3 linked regions of the Chlamydomonas reinhardtii genome follow. The protein of the gene in region 2 interacts with the protein of the main gene of each other region in a pairwise test. Links are inferred from orthologs where the notes say so. Each region holds a gene or a part of one and is shown on either strand. Other genes may lie near its edges. The genes, in order: CHLRE_11g469450v5, CHLRE_15g637100v5 and CHLRE_17g698800v5.

Evidence for each region.
Region 1: the proteins of CHLRE_15g637100v5 (region 2) and CHLRE_11g469450v5 interact in binary tests that used the Arabidopsis thaliana proteins (3 or more experiments, as listed by UniProt). The link is inferred for Chlamydomonas reinhardtii from reciprocal best matches to the Arabidopsis thaliana genes DSK2 and RPN13.
Region 3: the proteins of CHLRE_15g637100v5 (region 2) and CHLRE_17g698800v5 interact in binary tests that used the Arabidopsis thaliana proteins (3 or more experiments, as listed by UniProt). The link is inferred for Chlamydomonas reinhardtii from reciprocal best matches to the Arabidopsis thaliana genes DSK2 and TED3.

Annotation. Positions count from the first base shown.
Region 1 is NC_057014.1:2,128,324-2,132,368, reverse strand, and holds the start of CHLRE_11g469450v5 (uncharacterized protein), read right to left. Parts: upstream 2,814-4,045; 5' UTR 2,612-2,813; coding exon 2,513-2,611; intron 2,411-2,512; coding exon 2,300-2,410; intron 1,994-2,299; coding exon 1,929-1,993; intron 1,628-1,928; coding exon 1,554-1,627; intron 1,171-1,553; coding exon 1,062-1,170; intron 747-1,061; coding exon 644-746; intron 299-643; coding exon 167-298; intron 1-166. Other genes in the region: CHLRE_11g469400v5 (uncharacterized protein), read left to right, coding at 3,122-3,829.
Region 2 is NC_057018.1:535,830-538,938, forward strand, and holds part of CHLRE_15g637100v5 (uncharacterized protein), read right to left. Parts: coding exon 3,086-3,109; intron 2,804-3,085; coding exon 2,741-2,803; intron 2,197-2,740; coding exon 2,092-2,196; intron 1,772-2,091; coding exon 1,652-1,771; intron 1,466-1,651; coding exon 1,136-1,465; intron 852-1,135; coding exon 771-851; intron 542-770; coding exon 410-541; intron 221-409; coding exon 1-220. UniProt on the Arabidopsis thaliana protein: Binds and presumably selects ubiquitin-conjugates for destruction. Prefers multiubiquitin chains rather than single ubiquitins, with a binding affinity for 'Lys-48'-linked ubiquitin chains.
Region 3 is NC_057020.1:398,576-402,860, reverse strand, and holds the start of CHLRE_17g698800v5 (uncharacterized protein), read left to right. Parts: upstream 1-1,453; 5' UTR 1,454-1,825; coding exon 1,826-1,971; intron 1,972-2,258; coding exon 2,259-2,400; intron 2,401-2,785; coding exon 2,786-2,821; intron 2,822-3,005; coding exon 3,006-3,056; intron 3,057-3,270; coding exon 3,271-3,378; intron 3,379-3,543; coding exon 3,544-3,797; intron 3,798-4,040; coding exon 4,041-4,134; intron 4,135-4,285. Other genes in the region: CHLRE_17g698850v5 (uncharacterized protein), read right to left, coding at 346-755, 1,056-1,079. UniProt on the Arabidopsis thaliana protein: E3 ubiquitin-protein ligase component of a retrotranslocation channel required for peroxisome organization by mediating export of the PEX5 receptor from peroxisomes to the cytosol, thereby promoting PEX5 recycling.

The sequences.
Region 1 (4,045 bases), on a different chromosome or scaffold from region 2:
CATGCACTCACAAACACACGCACACAAGCAGCTGGCACGTGCAATTGACCCAGCCATCGCACGAACCCCCGTGCGGCCATGGCTCCCCATGGCTCCCCATGGCTCGCCCGAAGCGACTCGTGCATCCATCCCATCCCATCCACCCCGCCCCGCCCCGCCCCGCCACCTGTGCTGCCGCCAGCTGCGCAAGCAGGCTGTGCGCCAGCTGCTCCTCGCCGCCGCCGGAGTAGGCCGGGGCGGCGCCGCCCCCCAGGCTGGCGGCCAGGGCGTTGCCCAGAATGGCAGCTAGGTTGGTGGCCTGCAGGGCAGCCGCACGGGGTGGCCGCGTGGGATCAGCAGCGTGGGATCAGCAGCGTGGGGTAAGAGCCGCACGGGGTCAGCCGTACATATGCGAGGCGAAGGGTAAGGGGTGCGAAGGGGTGGGTAAACGGGCGAATGGGAAAGCAGTCTTGACCGCGACTCGGTGGGTGGAAGTGTTGAAGGGTCATGGGACTGGCACGCGCCCCATGGCTGGCTGTGATGAGGCCACCACCATGCCAAACAATGCGAGCACCGCACCGCACAGCATCGCACAGCATCGCACAACATCGCACAGCACAGCACCGTTTGCAAGAAGTACGCATGTACGCACGCACGCACGGACCTGCGCGTTCACGGCGGCGGTGCTGCCAGGTGTCTGCGCCGGAGCCGCCGGCATCTGCCCCACACTGCTGCCCTGCCCCATCATCACACCTGCACCCGGCGAGCTGCGGGGCGCAGACAGAAAGGCCAGCGCGACGGCCGCGATGGCACCAGAAGTAAAATGTCAATCTACATGTAAGAACGCATGCTGATGGCAGTGCAGACGCCAACATATGCGTCACGCAATTGCGCACACACCGCAGCGGTAATTGCCGCCTCCTTTGTCTCACGGCCGCTCGTGAGCATGCTGAGCGGTGATGATATCCTCACCCATGCAGGGCATTGCTGAACAGGCATGGCCCAGCGGTAGGGCCTGCGGGTCTCGCACCGCCCGTTCACAACCCAACATGGTGCCACCGCTTGTGTGTCCGCGCACTCACGTGGACATGTGGGCGTGCTCCAGAGCGTCAGAAGCCGTCACGCCGGTGGCCGTCACGGCCGCCGCCGCAGAGGCCGCCGCAGCCGTCAGCGCCGCGGCCGCCGCCTCCTCTGCGCGTGGCGCACAAAGCATTTGCAATTGCCGCAAGTAGCGGGGTGGCAAGTGGCTGCTATCTGCCGCTGCTTGCCTCTTGCTGCCACTGGACCGGTTCTGCCTTGGTATATGCAGGCACCCAAGTGTCTTTGCGACCCGCATCCATACCGTACCTCCCTTCGGCGTTCCCCGTCGTCAGGCCGCCTTTGGAGCTCCCTCCCTGCATCCTCGCCGCCCCGCTGTCCTTCCTGCCTTCCTCTCCGCCCCGCTCCCTGCCTCCCCCCGCCCTGCCTGCCCTATCGACGCGCGCCCCCTTGCGCTTGGTATAGAGCATCCTCCTCCTGCCTGTTCCCCTCCCAGCTCGCTCCCACCCCACTCAAGCACCCAAACCGCTGCCCACCTGGTTGGTGCAGGGCTGTGTTGAATGCCGCCACAAGCGCCTCGTCATCCTCCGCGGCCCCGCCCTCCTGCAGCCTGTGCGGGTTGTGGGCAGAGAGCATCCATAACACAAGCGAGGCTGTATACACAGAGCGTGTGGGCGTGTGGGCGTATGTGACTGCAAGTGCTGCCCCGAGTTCCATGACCGTGCTCCCGCCCATCCATTGTGGGCAACTCGATAACCACCGGGGCTACTCCGTCGGGGTGAATAAACGGTGGACCCATCCCATGAGCTTAATGCCGTCAACTAGCTTGCCTCCCTCCCCCACCCTATCTCCCTCTCCCTCTCCCTGTCCCACCTCTGCTCGGGCACCACCCACCTCCCCGCACCACCCACCAGAAGAACATGTTGCGCTCTTTGTCCTCGGGGAACTTGAGCACCACCGCGCGCTGGCCGGGGATCTGGCGGGCGGCGTTACGAAGGAATAGGGATCCGAGTCATCCGACACGGCACGGGCGCGTCAGCGCTGGCGACATGCAGCAGCCATGGGGTTCCATGGGAGCGCTGGCCGCCGCGTGAGCACCACCGGTACCCTGGCCCCCGGGCCCCCCAACACCCCCGACGCCGAGCAGCAGCCCAGGCTTGGACTGGAATAAAGCCCCGTCGTTATATCATCGTGTCTCTTTGGTCGCTTGCTGGGAAAGATGAAAACGCCTACCCACCGACCCACCCCACGCACACGCACGCAGCACCACAGCCCCGCGCACCTTCTCCAGCATGGCCTCCCCTGGGAACACAATGACGTCATCCACCGGCTCCGCGGCCCGACCCTCCGCCGTACGCTCGTACCATTGCACGTGAACCAGGGTGTCCTCCGTCTGCGTTTTGGGGGGTCAGGGGATGGAGCTCTTCGGCCGCGCTGCGCCTTTGGCTTCTTCTGGCACACCCTGCGCACGCCCATTTTCCCCCTGAACACTTGCCTGGCACAGCCGAACTAAGCCTTTGCGCGGGTCTGGCGCCAGCGTCGCGCCGCTACGTGTGAGTTTCCCCGCCTTGAACTCAGCCAGCGGAGCCTCCATCGCTGCCGCTGGGACGTGAAGTGGAAAGGTCGCGGGTGACGCACCGCAGTCTTCGTCCGCGGCGTTGCGCCGCTTTCACGCGTGTTCTTTTATGTGGTATAGGGAGCGCAAGGCAGGTGTACCGAGAAAGCCGTGTTGAACACAAAAACGGGCAGATCAACTGTGTTTCCCGTCCTTAAGCATGTATTTGTGCAGGTCCAATGAGCATAGAATTGAATGCTTGTACTCAAGACAACCGTTGCATCGCGGAGCAGCGACCTCGCCGTGGTTCTACGATTCATCTTGTCCATGCGTCCACCTCTGGCCCGGCCTGAGCTTGCCGGTGAGAGGTGTGAATAGACAGAAGCCCCTGGATTTATCACATAGTCCTTGAGAGCCAAACCGTATCCCGCGAAACGCGACTTGCTTCCAGAAGGGGGTCTGCTTTCTGCAGGCTACGGACGGGACGATCATCTAGTCTGACTGCTTCTAGACTTGGTTTGGTCATAAGGCAGGGGCGAAGACGCGAGGATGGGGAAGCCGCTGCACTTTGACGTGCACGGCCAGCTGCGCGTCCTCGCAGTCGACGATGACTCCGTTAACCTTATGGTCATTGAGTCAGTCCTAAAGCCGATGGGCTGGGATATCGTGCCGGCAATCGATGGCTCAGAGGCGTACGCTGCGTGCGACAACGAGCCGGAGTGGCCTGATATCGTGCTGTTGGACTACAACTTGGAGGTCGGAGATAGCGGGGAAACGGTGCTGGCCAACCTGCGCAGCCGCTTCGCGGGATTCAACGTGCCCATCGTCATGTGCACCGCAATGTCCGCCAACTCAGCGGAGCTGGACCGCTGCCTGAAGAATGGCGCTGTGGACATCCTGCTCAAGCCATATGAGCGCAGCAGGGTCATGGACATCGTGGAGAAGCACTGCCCGGGCAAGGCAGCGCCCGCAGCCAAGCCCGCTGCCGCCCTGCCACCGCCCGCCCCCGCGGCGGCTCCGGCCCCGGCGCCTGCGCCCACAGCGGCCCCGCCGCCGCCGGCGGCGGCCGGACCGGCCGCCGCTGACGTGGAGTCGTTCTGCGTGTCCATCGGCCTCGACTACCTCGGGAAAAAGCTTAAGGAGCAGGGCGTGTCGCTGTCGGACCTGAAGGGCTTCGACGACGCCGCGCTTCGGAAAATGGGCGTGGTGGTCAAATCGCAACGCGATAAGATTCTGGATGCCGCCAAGAATTGTTAACAACAAGGTGCGGATGGGGGCTGTGGTTTGATTGGGCGGCTTGATGCTTCCAGGGTGATGATGTCTTGGCCGTCGCAGACGGGGTTCCGTGGTTGCGTGCTGTGCAGTGTGGGTCCGGGGCAAGGCAAACGATTAAGTGTGTTGTTGTTTGAGTTGCCGTCCTGTGCTGGGCTGCATGCCTCTCCCACCCTAATGCCTTATCCTCCGTCAACCATC
Region 2 (3,109 bases):
CGCCTGCACCCGCGCCTGCGCCTGCGCCGGTGCCAGCGCCGCCGAGGCCGCCGAGCAGGGCTGCCATGGTCGCCATGTCGGGCATTGCGCCGGTGCCGGGAGGGGCAGCGGTGCCGGGAGGGGCGGCGCCGGGGGCGGCGGTGCCAGGAGGGGCGGCGCCAGGCGCGCCCATGCCGCCCATGGCGTTTCCGAACATCTGCGCAAAGAGCGGGTTGGAGCCCTGTGGGAGTCGAGAGGAGAGAGGAGAGGGAGGGGAGAGGCAGGGGAGAGGCAAGGGTGGGGTTGGTCAGGCTCTCGGCATGCGGTAGGATAGCAAGAGGTGTGGGCCCTGCGGGGAGGATTGCGCAGACCCAAGACAAAGGCACTCCCCAGATACCCTTCATCCTATAGCTCTCCCTCTCACTCTCACCCGCATCTGCTCGATCTGCTGCATCAGCTGCATCATCTGCGCCATGTGCCGCGGGTCCATCATCGCCCGCAACGTGTGCGGGTCGCTCAGCATGGAGCGCATCATGGGGTTGGCGTCCGCCATCGCGCGGAGCTGCGTTTCCAAAAGGCGCGAACAGCAATTTGGCAAAACAAGCACAGTTAAGCAAAGTTTGTAAATCGTAAAGTATTGTAAATATTAAGTAGAAATTCCAAGCAGCAAAAGGAGAGCAAACATTGGCACACAGATGCTGCCGCGCTTCCCATCTCGTGACCCCTGCTAGCGCTCGCGCAAAGCTCGTTGCCCCTCGCGGCCTCGCCCTCGCGCTCACGCCCCCTCGCACCTGGGGGTTGGAGTTGATCATGGTCTCCATCAGCTGCGGGTTGGACGACAGCGCGCCCATCATTTGCTGCACCAGCGGGTTCTGAGGATGGATCCCACAAATACATTTGTTTCATTTGTTTGGTTATGGAGGGCGGGGAAGAGGTGCGTTGTTAGAAACAGGTCATGAGAACGCGGTGGAGGGAGGGAGCTTTGCTAAGCGAGAGGGAGCTAGCTAGTAGCTAGCAGACGGATTGAGGCCCCCTGCCCCCAGGAACGGTGGGCGCAAGACGGGGGCAAATGGGGGCATGAACGGATTCGCGCTCCGCCAAAACAAACCGCTCCCCTGCCCCTCTCATGCACATGGAAACGGAACATCTAACGCACCTGCAGCATGGACAGCGCCTCGGCTGGGTTCATGTTCATACCCGGCACGCCGCCGGGGCCCCCCGGCCCCCCCAGCGCCCCGAGCCCGGGAAAGCCTGCCCCCAGGCCCCCTGGAAGCCCGCCGGCGCTGGACCCGGTTCCGGATCCAGGCGCGCCGCCGCCGCCGCCAGGAGCCCAGGGGTTTGGAAGCGGCGCGTTGTTGGGCGTGGCTGCTGCTGCTGTGGATGCCGTGCCGTCGCCGCCGCCGCCACCGGTCCCTGAAGCAGTGGCAGATGTGGTGCCAGTGGCGGCGGCGCCAGCCCCCGCGCCTGACCCAGCGCCGGAGAGTGCCTGTGAGGTGTGGGAGGATGAGGCAAGGCATGGGGAAGGGCGCGGTCAGGTCAAGAGCTCGCCCCATTTACCAAACTGCCAGTACATAAATGCTAAATAATTCCCAAGAAGCGCTGTACAAAAATGCTAAAAACATATTCCGAACATGCGCTGTATCAAAATTCCAACACGCGCTGTGCACCCTACCTGTGCTAGCAGCGATGCAAGCGGGTCGGCTCCAGCCGCAGAGGCGCCGCTCCCGGAGGTGGAGGTGGCGGTGGCGCCGTCAGCGCCCGGCGGCGCCGTCGCAGCGTTCATCAGCGGTTCCTGTTGTTGTGGGTTGCGCGCAAAAGAAGCAAAATGAAATTGAGGCAAGGAGGCTACTGATTGGATGAGAGAGGACATGAGACCGGGTTCAGATTGTTTGCCTTCCGAGAAACATAGCATGAGAGGGGTTCTGGGCCTGGGTTTGCCGCGGGCAGCAGTACCCTGAAGCCCTGCTGGACACGGCTGTCTAACCCGACCACGCCCTACCCTCCCGCCCAACCTCCTACCCACGCTCCCGCCCACGCTTCTACCCACCCACCCACCCACCCTCGCACCCACCCTCCCGCCCACCCTCGCACCCACCCTCCCACCCAACCCACCTGTATTTGCTCGTGCAGTCGGCGAAGGGCATTGAAGCCCTCGGGCAGTGCCTCGATGTTGGACAGCGCGCGGTCGCTGGTGCGCATGTGCTCGCGCATCAAAGCCTGACAATTTTAATTAAAACGTATAATAGTATGCATACGGTTAGATGAGAGGAAATACAATTTTGGTAAATGGTGTTATGTAAGGGTTCTGGTGTGAGTCCGCCCTCCGCAGATTTGCTGTGTGGCGGCAGGCTGGGCTTGCGGCATGAGCCCTAACAGGCACAGTCGGTTTGGGTTTGGGCACAACCGTTGAAGTAACCTGAATGGCGCGCAAACTTTCATGAACGAGAACACCCAGAAGTTATGTGAATGGCTCATAAAAGAGACCGCCCAAACACCCGTACCTCACCGCCCCGGCTCGCCAGTTTTGGAGCGATATAACCGCGCACCCTGACACACACATGCACACCCCGGACACACGCGCCATCACACGATGCCTTCCCTGATTATCACAAATTTACGGTACACATACGCCTCTCGCGCGCAGGTCCGGGGCCGCGGCACACACACGCCACCGGACACCCGTCACCCACACCAACCCGTCACCCACGCCAATACCGGTCACCCTGGCACACCCACGCAACGCAACCATACGGCCACCCACCGGGTTGGACGCGATCCGCATCATTTCCCGCAGCGTGGCGGGGTCGTTCAGGACTTGCCCAATCTGTTGGGAACGACACAAGGGAAAATATAAAATTATTTCTAATCATGTAGGACACGGACACACAGGTCAGGGCCATGCGTTGAGGCCCAAGTTCAAGGCATCGCAACGCGTACAGCGAGTGCCCACCAGTGTTTTCCAAAACCCGGGTACTACTATCCAATACCGGGTGCGGACAACATAATTTGGGGAAATTGACACGGGAACACAGCAATGCAAAATATGGGAGCTGCGAGTACCCACGCGGGTACCTAAAACCTTTGTGCTGGGAAATACTCTGCCCACCTCGGGGTTTCGCTCCATGAGCTC
Region 3 (4,285 bases), on a different chromosome or scaffold from region 2:
TAGTAGACGCGTTGTTACCGATGTCCGTGGGGTGGGGAGGAGGTAGGAGGCGGGAGGCGGTGCGGAGTGGGGAATGCATAACGCCCCAGGTCTGGTGTGTCGTACCGAATCATCCTGAGCACCTGCCTAGACCCGGATGCTGGCCATCTTCCCCACCATCTTACTCACACAAGTTCGCTGGTGGGTTGTTATCACAACCACACATACAGAGAGACACAAACAAGCGCGCGCGCACGCTGCATTGTCCTGCGTACCTCCTTCCTTGCGCTCACTCATCCGCTTGCCCTGCGCCAATGACAGACCCCCGTGCCGCCAGCCCCCACACGGTGACTAGCACCCACCCACCAATGCAGCTGCAGCTCGGAAGGCGCGGCGTGCGGCGCGTTGGCATACGACGCCGTCACGCGCACGATGACCTTGCCGTCACGCGCCTCGCACGTGGCATCCACTACCGCGCCGGCCTTGCTGTGGCGGCGGTAGCGGGTGAGGCTGGTGTCCACAGCGCCGCGCTCCAGCGTGGCCGTTGCGCTGGCCTGCGGCACCCAGGAGGGAAGCTGCGAGAAGCCGGCGCGACCCATCGCGGGATGGGAGCTGGACAGGATGGAGGGCTGGCGGGGAGCACCAGGGGTGGCGAGGGGCGAGGGGCTGGGGGCTGCCGGCAAGTGGGGGACCGAGACCGGGTGGGCGAGGCTGGAGCAGACGGCGTGCCGCGGCGCAACACCCTTGCGCGGCCCGCGTATAAAACGCGCGGGCGCCTGCGCAGAGCGTGAATACACCAGTGTAGCAGTATAAGTGGCGCAGCGGTTCAGGGGATCGCGCGGCGCGCGCGCGAGTGAAGCCTAGATACTTTTGACGGCAGCCATCAGGGATGTATCTGTGCTTCTGTCGGCGCGCCCGCGCGCCCACATCATGCGTTGGTGGTCCGCTGAAGCCGGGTTAAAGCTACACTGCATCCACAATTGGCCTACTACGGCGACAGAGCGACACCCGCGCGCGAGCACCGCATGCAGGTGGACTGTCGGAAGACCTGCCCAAGTTGCCGGCGCTGTCCTTACCTGGACGTGTCCTTGTATCATCATGTGGACAGAAGCTCGTATATGCCCTTAATTACTTCAGCGCTACAGTCCAAGCGAACTCGCGACTTTTACCTTGCGCGCTTAGCAAGTTCACCCCGATCTAGGTAGGATTCTTGACCAGTAAGTTGGCTGCAGTCTAGAGCTAACGGTATCTCGTGCACTCGGCAGACTGAATGTGCCGGATGGTCGCGGCAATAGCAAAGAGGGAGACCGTAGTGCCTTTCCTAAAGGATCACAGGCATGAACTTGTTTCAGGTATGCCAGAACTTAGCAGCACGGGTCCCGCTTAGCTGAAGGATGGGGCAGACGACCGGGATGAGGCCCCATCGATGTGTCAGCCCGTCGGGCTCTGCCGCGAGTTGCTGTTGTCTTTATATGCTCATCATCAACACACCAACAGTCCTGTGCGCGACCTCGGCAAGGGCCGGGAGACCGCAGCTGAATGGCTTTTGACGTTTTGACAAAACCCAGCTTCCGTGATATCTATGGACTGTTCACGACTTGACATACCAAATAGGAGCCACATAGCGTCCGTGAAGCCCAAGAGCGGCGGTAGCGGCCGCGCTGATAATCCTCAACTCCCGCGACCTAGCGCACTACACTCTGCGGCGTCGCTTGCTTCACGAGAAACATTACTGTAGTGAGGGTTGTTATGTCTTTAAACCGGCTCTAGCCAGCGACAAGGCACGGCGCGGCTGGTGCTGACGAGTCACCCGGCGTGAACGTGTGCTGCCGCCGGCCGTGGTAGCATGACCGGGCAGGCAGCCGCTGCGGGGGCCCAGACGGTCGGCGGACTGGGCTGCGTCCCAGAAGCTCCGTCGGCGGATGCCTGGCAGGTGGCCGCGGCGCTGGTGGCGCCGCAGGTTGCGGCCTTGTCCACATCCATGCAAGGAGGGTGCGTGGTGCGGTCGCGGGTCCGCAGGAGGACACGGGTAGCCGCCTCGTGGCTATGGGGGCACGGGTGGCTGAGGTGCCGTGGTGCAAGGGCGGCTATGGGTGGAGTCATGGCTGTGATCCCTGTAGCAGCGCGCACTGCTCTCCAGGACACCGTGCACAGCATGCATCGCCCCGCCCCACCGGCTTGCAAGGGTGCCCCCCGTTCACCAGCTGATGCAGCTGCCCTTCTTGGCCCAGGGACGCCTCCCCCCATGTCCGTCCGCACTTGCCGCCCCTCTCGAGCAGGAGTGGCGCCAGTGGCGGCAGTGGCGGCGGCGCGGCGTTCCCGCAGCAGTCGCCGCTGCCTCCGCCGCCGTCGCTGCACGTGCTGCGCTCCTCGCAGGTGGATGCGCTGAGGCTGGACGCGGAGCTGGGCGGCATGCTGCAGGTGCGGGGTGTGGGTGCGGGTGGGGGTGCGGGTGGGGGTGCGGGTGCGGGTGCGGGTGTGGGTGCGGGTGCGGGTGGGGGTGGAGGTGGGGGAGTGGGTTCGGGTGCGGGTGTGGGTGCGGGTGCGCGGCCCGCTGGCAGCGCGGGGGACGTGTGTGGAGGGGTGCAAGGGAACGCAAGGCGCAGTGGGGGTAAATTTGAAGGGTATGAGACACCGGGTGGAGGCAAGGGCATGCAGCCCGGGTTGTCGTCGGCTGGGCGTGTGCAGGGTGCAGTCACTTGGCAGGGGCACGGGCACTGGCGGGCTCCTGCATCCGCCACGTATCCGCCTGGCCCAATCACGCCTATGACTGTGATGCGCATGCCATGCCACCAAATGTGCGCAGGAGCAAATGGTGAAGCTGTTCGACCACTTCAGGCCGGTGAGCGGGCATGTGTCGGCGGGTGTGGATAGGGCTATCCCACACACTGCCAGCAGCTAGGATATGGGGGACGGCCTGCAGGGTAGAAGCAGTAGGGCCTGCTTGGGTCGCTCAAAGCGGCGGTAAGTGGCGCACGCCGCTCGTCACGCGCCCCCCCCCCCGGCCTTCCCACGCACGAGTGCAGGGCCAGGCGGCGGCTCTGGAGCCGGAGGTGCGCGCCGTGCTGTCACTGCTGGTGAGACCGCCGGTCACTGCTTGAGTGCTTAGCGGACTCCGCGCCGGCGCCGTTGCATGTCACGCCACCTCCTTGCTTCACCACAGTAGTCGGCGGCGTGTGGTGTCTGTTAGCCCGGCCCCCCACTGCTGCACTGTGTCTGTGCTTGTGCACCACTGCCTGCTGAGGGCTGCTGCGGTTGTGTTGTGCCCCCTGCCGCCGCTGCCGCTGCCAGGTGTTTGGGCTGTCGGTGTGGGGCGGCGGCGGCACGGGCCGCGCCACGCCCGGCTCGGAGCTGCTCAACCTGAGGTACCGCAACGAGTGGGCCGTGGCCGCAGACAAGGTGGGGAGGGGGAGGGGGAGGGGGCGGCGCAGAGGGCGTGCGGGCCTGTGCGGGCTGGGGTCATTGCATACTGCGGTAGCCTGGCAGCTCCTTTCCCCGTCCCTGTGCCCACCCACGCGCCTACTGTCCACCACCCCATCCAGCCACAACCCACGCGCCCTGCAGGCCTGCGTTGGCCGCACGGGCGTGGAGGGGCCGGGCCTGAGCCGCGGCCAGCGACTGGGGCTGGGGCTGGGCACCGTGGCACTGCCGTACGCCTGGGCGAGGCTGTGTCGGGCGGCGCATGCCGGCGACTGGTCGGAGGCGGAGGAGGGCAGCTGGCGGCGGCGGGCGGCGGGAGCCATGCGCTGGGCGGAGGGCGCGGCGGCGGCGGCGGCGCTCGCCAACTCGTGGCTGTTCCTGGTGCGCGGCGACTACAGGTGCGGCGGGGATTGAGGGTCGCCACCGTGCGTGCAGAATGCTGGTGGCTGTTTGGTTTGGTGTGCTCGTTACGTGCGCTTTGCGTGCAAACTGCTTGTTGCGGTGCTGCGGCTGCGCCACCCCCCGGCACACCCACCCCGAACAATCGTTCATGACCCCAAACAACCGTTCATGTCCCGACCCACGGTCCAACGCACGGCCCAACGCACGGCCCCACGCACGGCCCGCACGTGCTCGCGCAGGACGCTGCTGGAGCGGCTGCTGGGCTGCCGGCTGGTGTGGCGGCAGGCGGCCATGAGCCGCATCATCAGCTTCGAGTACCTCAACAGGCAGCTGGTGAGGGGAGGGCGGGGTGGGGCGGGGAGGTGAGGCGGGGAGGCAGGGAGGGGAGGCAGGGAGGGGAGGCAGGGAGGGGAGGGAGGGAGGGAAGGAGGAGGCCTGGGAGAGGGGAAGCGTCGGAGACTTGGGTTGCGGCTCGGGCGGCGGG